Macaca mulatta: one gene and its partners. The protein of the gene in region 1 binds, or shares a complex with, the protein of each later gene. Links are inferred from orthologs where the notes say so. Each region holds a gene or a part of one and is shown in the gene's direction. Other genes may lie near its edges. The genes, in order: NHP2, TERT and GAR1.

Region 1 (2,280 bases):
CCATCCTGTACTTCACCTGTCCGAGCACTACCTCACTTTGATGGCACTTACATGTTGCCAAGAGGTAGAGATCACCCCAGAAGAGTGCACTCACCAAACAGAGTTTTCTCTCTCTCCCTAAGACCCAGCCCAGGGCGGCACTTACAACTGAAAGGAGGGAGCAAAGCCAGAAATGACTGTTTCCTCTCATTTCAGGATCATGGTTTTGGCAGGAGACACACTGCCCATTGAGGTATACTGCCATCTCCCAGTCATGTGTGAGGACCGAAATCTGCCCTATGTCTATATCCCCTCAAAGACGGTAAGGAGCACATGGCCCCCTGACCTTGCTCAGCACTGGGGTGTCTGGGATCGTCTGCCGTAGCAGAAGAGTATAGGACAGAGCCAGGAGTGTTGGAGCTAAGACAGGCCTGGATGGATTCTCGGCTCCATGTCTTCTTAGTTTTGTGACTACAGATGAGTTACCTCTTGCATTTCAGTTCCCATCTTATAAAATGGGAATCCTAGCCCAGGCGCTGTGGCTCACACCTGTAATCCTAGTGCTTTGGGAGGCCAAGACAGGAGGATCAGTTGAGGACAGTAGTTCAGGAATAACCTGCGCAACACAGTGAGACTCCATCTCTACAAAAAAAAAATTTTTTTAATTAGCTGGGTGTAGTGGCACATGCCTGTAGTCCCAGCCACTTGGGAGGCTAAAGTGGGAGGATCACTTGAGCCCAGGAGTTCGAGGCTGCAGTGAGCCATGATCATACACCACCACACTCCAGACTGCATGATAGAGTGAGGCCCTGTCTGGGGAAAAAAAAAAAAAAGGCTGGAGGGTGGATCTTGGGTAGCCACAGTATCACTTGTTGGGATAAAGCAGGGAGAGGCCCTGTTCTGAAGGAACTTACCATTTGGCCTAAGAGTAAGAACCGAAGTCAGTTCTCTGTGGACTATGAGAATAAAAAGAGACAGATGTATGTGAGTAAGCTTTGTAAGCTAAGATGCTTCACCCATGTTAGTCCTGTTAGGTGGGTTTAGGCTCAGGGGGACCTCTAGCTGTCCTTATCTTACATAGCAGGGGCCAGATCTGAGGCACAGGAAGTGAGGGATGGCAGGGACCGGGACGGCCCCTGCTGGACTGGAGCCCTTTCATAGCTGTCATGTGGGAATGTAGGCTGTGTGTGGCTAGACCATGCCTTGAAAGTCTGATTGAGTTTAAATGATGGCAACCAATTCAAGATGCTTTCAAATAGAACATGGACCGAAGAGAACATGGTTGTGGGACAGATTAGGCTGGTGGGTCATCAGTTGGTGACTTCCTGGCATACAGGTTGCACAGCCTTTTTTCCAAACAGCACTTCTTTCTTCTCTGTAGGACCTGGGTGCAGCCGCAGGCTCCAAGCGCCCCACCTGTGTGATAATGGTCAAGCCCCACGAGGAGTACCAGGAGGCCTACGACGAGTGTCTGGAGGAGGTGCAGTCCCTGCCCCTACCCCTATGAGGGGCTCCGGGAGCACCTGGGCACCTGCCGCTGGGAGCTGCTGGGCTGGCGGCGGGATGACTGGCTGTCCTCCTGCCCACACACACTGACTGCATCTTCCCAGTTCCCCGAGGCTCGCCTTCTTCCCAGGCAGCTCTAACAGCCCTTTCATGAAGGTAATGCCAGTCTTCTGTCCATCAGTGCCATTTCCTGTAGAACTAAAGGCTGTTCCAAGAAAGTGGGGTGGGGAAAGTAAATGCTAAGACTAAAATGTGGTGAGTCTGTGGGTGTTTTCTTAAGCAGCAGCTGCTGGTTGGGCCGAGTTGGTGGGCGGGAAGAGTGAAGCGGTTTTCCTCGCCAGAGAGCCCGAAGGACTCAAAGGGTTCTGTGCTAATGCTCAGCTGCCCCGGCCAGATGCTTTGGCTCAAGCTGAGAACTGATCCTGCTGCTACCCCAGCGCTTTCAACTCCCTCCTCCAGGGTAGATGGGGGCTGTGAGGTAAGGCAGGGGGCCCAGACCCACTTCATGGAAGCCTAAAGCCCCCACATCAGGAACACCCCCATTCTTAACTTTCCCCCAGGAGCCTTAAATGCCACTGTGAAGCTTATGGAAGCGATTTATCCACCCACACAGCAAATTTTAAATAGGAATATGAAGCTAAAATGCATCCCCCCAGGCTATCTCTCTTGCTTAACATAATGGCCTTAGTAACCCAATCCCTTCAAACATTTTAGACTTGGGGCCTCTTACTGCTGTCAGAGGCCCTGCACAGGACTCAGTATACACAGCAACCAAGTTCAGGCACCCTGGAGTAA
Region 2 (3,650 bases), about 180 Mb from region 1:
CCTCTTGGGTTGCTGTGTGCATTTCCTGCCAAGTGTGTGTGGATCCTGTCGTTGCCTCCTGGTCACTGGGCATTTGCTTTTATTTCCCTTTGCTTAGTGTTACCCCCTGATCTTTTCATTGTCATTGTTTGCTTTTGTTTTTTGAGACAGAGTCTCACTCTGTCACCCAGGCTGGAGTGCAATGGCGCAACCTCGGCTCACTGCAACCTCTGCCTCCTGGGTTCAAGCAGTTCTCATTCCTCAACCTCATGAGTAGCTGGGATTACAGGTGCCCGCCACCACACCTGGCTAATTTTTGTATTTTTAGTAGAGATGAGGTTTCACCATGTTGGCCAGGCTTGTCTCAAACTCCTGACTCAAGTGATCTGCCTGCCTCGGCCTCCCACAGTGCTGGGATTACAGGCGTGAGCCACCGCGCCCGGCCTACCCTGATCTTTTAAAATGAAGTCTGAAACATTGCTACCCTTGTCCTGAGCAGTAAGAGCCTTAAGTATATTTTAACTCTGGTCACCACCCCCAGCCTATGTGCTATTTTCCCTGCTGACTTAGTTCTATCTTGGGTATCTTGACACACCCACAAGGTAACCATTATTAATATTGTTTTCCGTGTTCGGTGTTTCTTTAGCTTTGTCCCTGCCCTGCTTTTCCTCCTCTGTTCCCTGTCTGTCTTTTGTCTCAGGCCTGCCTTCTGGGGTCCCCTTCCTTGTCCTTTGCCTGGTTCTTCTGTCTTGTTATTGCTGGTAAACCCCAGCTTTACCTGCACTGTGGCCTCCATGGCTTCTAGTGACGTCCGGGGACCTCTGCTTATGCACAGATGAAGATGTGGAGACTCACGAGAAGGGCGGTCATCTTGGCCCGTGAGTGTCTGGAGCACCACGTGGCCGGCGTTCCTTAGCCAGTGGGTGACAGCAGCGTCCGCTCGGCCTGGGTTCAGCCTGGAAAACCCCAGGCACGTTGGGATCTGGGCTCCGTGGTGACGAGTTTGAAATCACACAAACCTACGGTCTGGTGCCAGCCCCGATGTGCTGCCTGGCGGGGAAGTGTCTGCCTCCTCCCTTCTGCTTAGGGACCAGGACAAAGGATGAGGCTCCGAGCCATTGTCATCCAACAGGAGCATGACATGAGCCACGTGGATCATTTTTAAATGTCTAGGCTGGGCGCGGTGGCTCACGCCTGTAATCCCAGCACTTTGGAAGGCCCAGGCGGATGGATCACAAGGTCAGGAGATCGAGACCAACCTGGCCAACATGGTGAAACCCCATCTCTACTAAAAACACAAAAATTAGCCGGGCATGGTGGTGGGTGCCTGTAATCCCAGCCACCTGGGAGGCTGAGGTAGGAGAATCGCTTGAACCAGGGAGTTGGAAGTTGCAGTGAGCTGACATTGCGCCACTGCACTCCAGCCTGGCAACAGAGGGAGACTGTCTCAAAAAAAAAAAAAAAATAGAGAAAAAGAAAAAAAAATTCTAGCAGCCACATTAAAAAAGTAAAAAAGAAAAGGTGAAATTAACGTAATAATAATTTTACTGAAGCCCAGCACGTCCACAGCTCATCATTTAGGGTGTCATTGGTGGGAGCGTCACTCACAGGACATGTGACATTTTTTGTGCTTGATCTGCGGGATCCCGTGTGTGGGTCCCGTGTGCGGCCATCTCAGCCTGGACCTGCTGGGCTCCCCGTGGCCATGGCTGTCGTACCAGATGGTGCAGGTCTGCGATGAGGTCGCCAGCCCTGCGGTGAGCTGGATGTGCGGTGTCCTTCTCGTTTCAGGGGTGGGCTGTGTGCCGGCCGCGGAGCACCGCCTGCGGGAGGAGATCCTGGCCAAGTTCCTGCACTGGCTGATGAGTGTGTATGTGGTCGAGCTGCTCAGGTCTTTTTTTTATGTCACGGAGACCACGTTTCAGAAGAACAGGCTCTTTTTCTACCGGAAGAGTGTCTGGAGCAAGTTGCAAAGCATTGGAATCAGGTAGTGTACCCCCACGCTGGTCCCCTGCTTCTCGAAGTCCTGCAGCACCAGCCCCGGCCTCAGCGTGCGCCTGTCGTCCCGGCGCCGGTGCTTCCCTGGCTGTGCGGCTCTGGGCTGGGAGCCAGGGCCCCCATCACAGGCCTGGCCCGAGTGGATTCTGTGCTGGGCTCTGATTGCCCGGAGCTCACTTTCTGTTACTTGTGAAATCAGGAGTTTATGCCAAGTGGTCTCTGGGGTCTGTAAAGCAGAAGCGGTTTATATTGGATGGAAACACTACCACCAGCCTCCTTGCCCCTCCTCGGGATGTGGATCCGATTCTCTCTTTCTCTTTTTTTTTTTTTTTTTGTTTTTTGAGATGGAGACTTGCTCTGTTGCCCAGGCTAGAGTGCAGTGCCATAATCTTCACTCACTGCAACTTCCACCTCCCGGGTTTAAGCGATTCTCCAGCCTCAGCCTCCTAAGTAGCTGGGATTACAGGCACCTGCCACCACGCCTGGCTAATTTTTGTATTTTTAATAGAGATGGGCTTTTGCCATGTTGGCCAGGCTGGTCTCGAACTCCTGACCTCAGGTGATCCACCCACCTTGGCCTCCCAGAATGCTTGGTTTATAGGCTGAGCCACTGTGCCTGGCCCCCGATTGTCTTTTAATTCATGCTGGTCTGCATGAATCTTTAATCTGCTGGATTTAGGTCACGAGAGGATAAAATCCCACCCTCTTGGTGACTCACTGTGGGGAGCACCTGTGTGGGGAGCACCCGGGGTAGGAGATGTCCATCATGAGCTAACTTCTAGGTGGCTGCGTTTGAATGGCTGCGAGATTTTGTCTGCAGTGTTCAGCTGATAAGAGTGTGAGGGATTGTGGCAGATTCAAGCTGGATTTGCGTCAGTGAGGGACTGGAGTGCTGGGCTGGGAGACATCAGCCTGGCTGAGCCCAGGCCATGATATTAGCTTCTCTGTGTCCCACCCAGGCTGACTGGAGGGCTCGGTGAGGACTCTTTAGTCACAAGGTCAGGGCTTCCCCGGCTCCTCTGCACACTCGAGTCCCTGGGGGGCTTCTCACACCCCATGCCCCAAATCAGGATGTCTGCAGAGGAAGCTGGCAGCAGACCTCATCAGAGGTAACACGGCCTCTGGGCTGGGGACCCCGACGTGGGGCTGGGGCCGTTTCCTCCTGTATCTGGGGGAGAGTCAGGGCTTTCCTTGTGGGAACGAGTTAATACACAATGTGCCCTACTTAGACATTGCACATAGTGAATGGTGTGTGACCCAACGTGGTCATTTGACCAGTGTTTTGGGAAGAATTTAATTGGGGTGACAGGAAGGAGCAGACAGACGTGGTGGTCCCCAAGTCGCTCCTTGTCACGGCTGGAGCTGATGTTCTGCCTGAGGGGCCTCGGAGGCCCCTCCTCCCTGGACAGGGTACTGTGCCTCTCCTGTGCTCGGCTGGGCCTGCGGCCTGGGGTCAGGGCACCAGCCCCGGAGCACCCTCGGGCCCAGCGACCATAGAGCACTAGGCCGTCATCCGCAGATGCCCAGGTCCAGGTGTGGCCACTCCAGCCCCCCACTCCCCCATGGGTGGTTTTGGGAGAAAACACCAAAGGGCAGAGGTGTCAGGGAGCTGGTGGGCTCACGGGAGCTGGTTCTGCTCCTTGGCTGAGCTGCCCTGAGCAGCCTCCCCTGCC
Region 3 (4,263 bases), on another chromosome or scaffold:
TCTGTATGTGACAATCTTAAGTTCAATTCAGAACTGAGCCAATACACAGCAAAAGACAAGCAAAGGTTTCACACTAAATAGGTAATTTTCATTTTTTGTTTCAAAAATAATACACTTACACGTATATAGGCCCATAAAAAGATCAACATTCGTTAAAATCAAATTGCATCATTTACTAAACTAAAAGAAAAAGAAAAAGTAAAGTTTCTTCTCTCACTTATTTTGTTTGTTTGTTTTGAGACCAAGTCTTGCTCTGTCGTCTGGGCTGGAGTGCAGTGGCGTGATCTCGGCTCACTGCAACCTCCGCCTCCCCGGTTCAAGCGATTCTCTTGCCTCAGCCTCCCGAGTAGCTGCGATTACAGGTGTGCGCCACCATGCCCGGCTAATTTTTGTATTTTTAGTAGAGAAGGGGTTTCACCGTATTGGCCAGGCTGGTCTCGAACTCCTGACCTCAAGTGATCCATCCGCCTCGGCCTCCCAAAGTGCTGGGATTACAGGCGTGAGCCACCGCACCCCGCCTACAAAGGTATTTTAAAATCCCCCTTACAATAACCCTCTCAGTTAGATAGGTACCAAGTTCCACCCTCTTCTAAACACGATGTCAATATCAAGGTAAGGTCTCAGAGGGTTTGGTTGTAAAAGGCTCCAGCCAAATTTAATAAATGGGAAGTGACTACCTTTATTTGTGAGAGAAGCTTTGGAGAATGTGGAGGAAGCAGATGTCAAATATAAGGGGCTTAAGACGAGAAGGAGAGGAGCCTCCAGCACAGTCCGCTTCACATCCTGTCGGTGCTCAAAACATACTTGAATGAATACCCGGTACAAAAGATAAAAATGATGGTTTGGTTTTCTATAAGACACCATAGTTTCTTTAAAATTACACAAACACATGCATTGCTTTTTTCCCTCTAATTAGTGAGACCATAGCGCAAAAGAACAAGCACAGCTGAGCGCTCAGTGGTGCGAAAATCAAAAGGTCGGGAAGAAACAAGAAACTCAGACAAACGCTTCCGCCGGCTGTGACAGGTTCTGAGGCGACCAGATCCACTGGACATAGCGCGGCTCAGATACCTCAGAGACCTGTCCACACAGTTGCTGAAGTTAGCAACAAACTATTGAGCGCTGTTGGGCACCATTTAGTCTGAGAAGCAAATGCGCCCAGCCAGTCGGCACGGACTTCAAAAACTAACCTTGTTTCTTGCAAGGTGCTGGCAGTTGTTCTGGCAGTCAGGGCGGGAACCAAACAGAAACCCACCCCGCCTCTGGAAGAGAAGGCGGATCCCTAACGCCAGCTATCTCCAAGAGCAACATTGCCGCAGCACTTCCGGGACGTCGTGCTGCGAAGGACGCAGCTATTATACGTCACTTCCACGGCGCGGCGTTAGGCAAGTTGACCTCTCTGTTGTAAATTAGTGGTTAAGGTTAGATATTATTGCCACTTTTCCAAAGCTAAAGGCTGTTTTGGAACCAGTGTCGCTGGTTCCGCGCGTGACTACCTTTTTTTTGCAAACCAGTTATTCCAGTTTCTGGTCTAAAAAACTCTGTGGCTGTACGGTAGCCGAGGAGGTTCCAGCGCGGCGGAAGTACCCAGTAGGTGGGTGTGCGCGTAAGGCCAGGGCCAGAGGGGCACGTGGCGCCGGTGAGTGACCGTAGAAGCCGGAGGATTTGAAAATGGTGGACGCGGAACCCAGCTGCCGGAGGGAGGGAGGAAGGAAGGGGATGCAGTGCGAAGACCTTGCTGTCTGAAGGGGGAGGAGGTACTAATCCTGGGGCGGCAAGGCTGGTATGTTTGGTCGGTCGGCGCTCAGGAGACCATGAGGAAGTAAACTCTTCACCCATCAGGTTGGTGGTCACTGGCTGTCTGACCGTGGGTGAGGTGACAGGGCTGCTTTTGTCCCCTTTATGGTGTTCTCACCGCGGCTCCGAGGGGTTGGAGTGTACTCAGATGCTACAGTGATCAGAAGACACGGGTCGTTTTTTTTTTTTTCACCAGGGAGGAGAGAGAATGTCTTTTCGAGGCGGAGGTCGTGGAGGCTTTAATCGAGGTGGTGGAGGTGGCGGCTTCAACCGAGGCGGCAGCAGCAACCACTTCCGAGGTGGAAGCGGCGGTGGAGGCGGCGGCAATTTCAGAGGCGGCGGCAGGGGAGGATTTGGACGAGGGGGTGGCCGCGGAGGCTTTAACAAAGGCCAAGACCAAGGACCTCCAGAACGTGTAGTGTGTATGCAGTCTTCAATATTTAGCCTATTTGAAGGAATAGGGGTGGGTTGTGGGTTTGTGTTATTAGTCCAGCAAGTTTGGGATACACAAGCCTGTGTGGAGAATGATGTAAACTGACATAATCGTACAGTAGCATGTAAGGGTGGGGTGGGGAGATCAAGAAAGCTGAGGGATACTTAAAATGCATCATGGAAGTGGAACTTCAGGGTTGACAGGAAGATATTAAATAGGTAATAGTGAGTACTTATCCCTAATTCCCCGATTTTACAGATGAGAAAACTATGATTTAGAGTTAAGTTTTTATAGCTGAAATATAAGTATAGCTGAAATACAGGCTGGGTGCCGTGGCTCACGCTTGTAATCCCAACACTTGGGAAGCTGAGACAGGAGGATCACTTGAATCCGGGAGTTAGACACCAGCCTGGACAATAAAGCAAGGACCCTGTCTGTACAGAAAAAGAAATACAAAGCCAAGTATTCTGACTCCAAAGCCCATGCTTTCCATTACTACTTAAAAGTAGATAAGTGAGAAAACAATTTGCTTGAGAGGGAAACTGCCAAAGAGGAAGTCGAGAAAAAGACCCATTTAGGATAGTTTTATAGTAATTAATAATGAGATGGGAATGGAAGTCACAGAGAGTGAAACTTACTACATTAAAGAGGAGAGAGGGTGAAGAGTGTCTAAGAATGGTTGGATGAGTATGCAGGATGGTTTGAAAGGAGCAGTTTCTAGAATAAAAGGTCCCAGCCTGCAAGCTGTTGTACCAGTCCATACACGAGGCATTGAGAGCCTGATTCAGGATGGTGAGGAAAAAAAGGAAGGGTTAGATAGGAGAGAGATTTCAAAGGAAACAAAATCGGTAGAACTTAGCTAATGCTGATAATAAAGGGTTCCAGGTTTTGCGCTTGGGTGATAGGAATGAAGAGTTGGTTTTGCAGGAATGTGTTAATTATTTTAGTTTAGGGGGACAGTCTAGTTAGTTAGAACTAAAGGTAGTTATTTTGAGATTCCAAATGTCCTTGAAAACAATGAATCATTGTTAAAGAGGTGGTAGTGGGAATAGGAAAGTTCTGAGGCAAGAGAAAAAAAAAAGAACAAAGGGTAATTCTTTTAGGGGTTGAAGAAAAGGGAGTGAAGAAAAGGAATAACCAAGAGAATGAAGCAGAGTTTTGAATCAGATAATAAATTTTAATAAGATAACTGTTACATGTGGAATGGTCTCAATGTGCCAGGCACTGTTTTAAGCACTTGAAATTGGTTATTCCATTGAGTCCTTACATTACTGTATATTAGGTATAGCTGTACATTATATGTTACTAGTGTCTACTAAAGAGGAAACACTGAATTAGAGAAAGGGTGGGTAACTTCTCCTAGGTTACATAGCTAGTGTGTTGTGGAGTTGGTATACCAGCCCAGGAAGTCCACACTCTTAATGACTGTGGTCTTCTGCCTCAGAGGAGAGCAGGTATGGTGAAGTCCCAGGTAGCCAGGAAGAAAGCTTCCAGAAGAAGTTGGTCAGTATCGTTTGAAATAGTTCTGTGTTTTAATATTTTCTTGTCCTATTTCAGTATTAGGAGAGTTCCTGCATCCCTGTGAAGATGACATAGTTTGTAAATGTACCACAGATGAAAATAAGGTGCCTTATTTCAATGCTCCTGTTTACTTAGAAAACAAAGAACAAATTGGAAAAGTGGATGAAATATTTGGACAACTTAGAGATTTTGTATCCTTTTTCATTGGAAGACCTAATAATATTCAAAGGTTGCTATTTGTATTTTTGTGAGGAGGCGGTTAAGTGTAAATTAGACTTGTTGCTTCATTAAATTAGACAGGATTGCTACAGATTGGACCATGAAGGAGAATCAAGGGGAGAATGTATTCATCCATAGATATTAAAATGACAGACCCTAGAAAGGTGACTGTTTTTGGAAAATTCTAGAAATGGCCATTTGGATAAGTACTACAAGATTAAGTTGGCTGATTTGGATGTAGTGGTGCCACTGGAAATGTAGAATTAGAAGCTGTTTGGTGCCCCCACTACCCT

Evidence for each region.
Region 2: NHP2 (region 1) and TERT share a complex: the UniProt entries of both Homo sapiens proteins name them as parts of the telomerase holoenzyme complex. The link is inferred for Macaca mulatta from reciprocal best matches to the Homo sapiens genes NHP2 and TERT.
Region 3: NHP2 (region 1) and GAR1 share a complex: the UniProt entries of both Homo sapiens proteins name them as parts of the H/ACA small nucleolar ribonucleoprotein (H/ACA snoRNP) complex. The link is inferred for Macaca mulatta from reciprocal best matches to the Homo sapiens genes NHP2 and GAR1.

What each region holds. Positions count from the first base shown.
Region 1 is NC_133411.1:186,966,782-186,969,061, reverse strand, and holds the end of NHP2 (H/ACA ribonucleoprotein complex subunit 2), read left to right. Parts: intron 1-195; coding exon 196-301; intron 302-622; exon of another isoform or gene 623-792; intron 793-893; exon of another isoform or gene 894-1,360; coding exon 1,361-1,486; 3' UTR 1,487-1,736; downstream 1,737-2,280. UniProt on the Homo sapiens protein: Required for ribosome biogenesis and telomere maintenance. Part of the H/ACA small nucleolar ribonucleoprotein (H/ACA snoRNP) complex, which catalyzes pseudouridylation of rRNA.
Region 2 is NC_133411.1:2,405,919-2,409,568, reverse strand, and holds part of TERT (telomerase reverse transcriptase), read left to right. Parts: intron 1-1,770; coding exon 1,771-1,966; intron 1,967-3,650. UniProt on the Homo sapiens protein: Telomerase is a ribonucleoprotein enzyme essential for the replication of chromosome termini in most eukaryotes. Active in progenitor and cancer cells. Inactive, or very low activity, in normal somatic cells.
Region 3 is NC_133410.1:119,117,282-119,121,544, forward strand, and holds the start of GAR1 (H/ACA ribonucleoprotein complex subunit 1), read left to right. Parts: upstream 1-1,364; 5' UTR 1,365-1,594; exon of another isoform or gene 1,595-1,639; intron 1,640-1,649; exon of another isoform or gene 1,650-1,842; intron 1,843-1,993; 5' UTR 1,994-2,005; coding exon 2,006-2,219; intron 2,220-3,787; coding exon 3,788-3,942; intron 3,943-4,263. UniProt on the Homo sapiens protein: Required for ribosome biogenesis and telomere maintenance. Part of the H/ACA small nucleolar ribonucleoprotein (H/ACA snoRNP) complex, which catalyzes pseudouridylation of rRNA.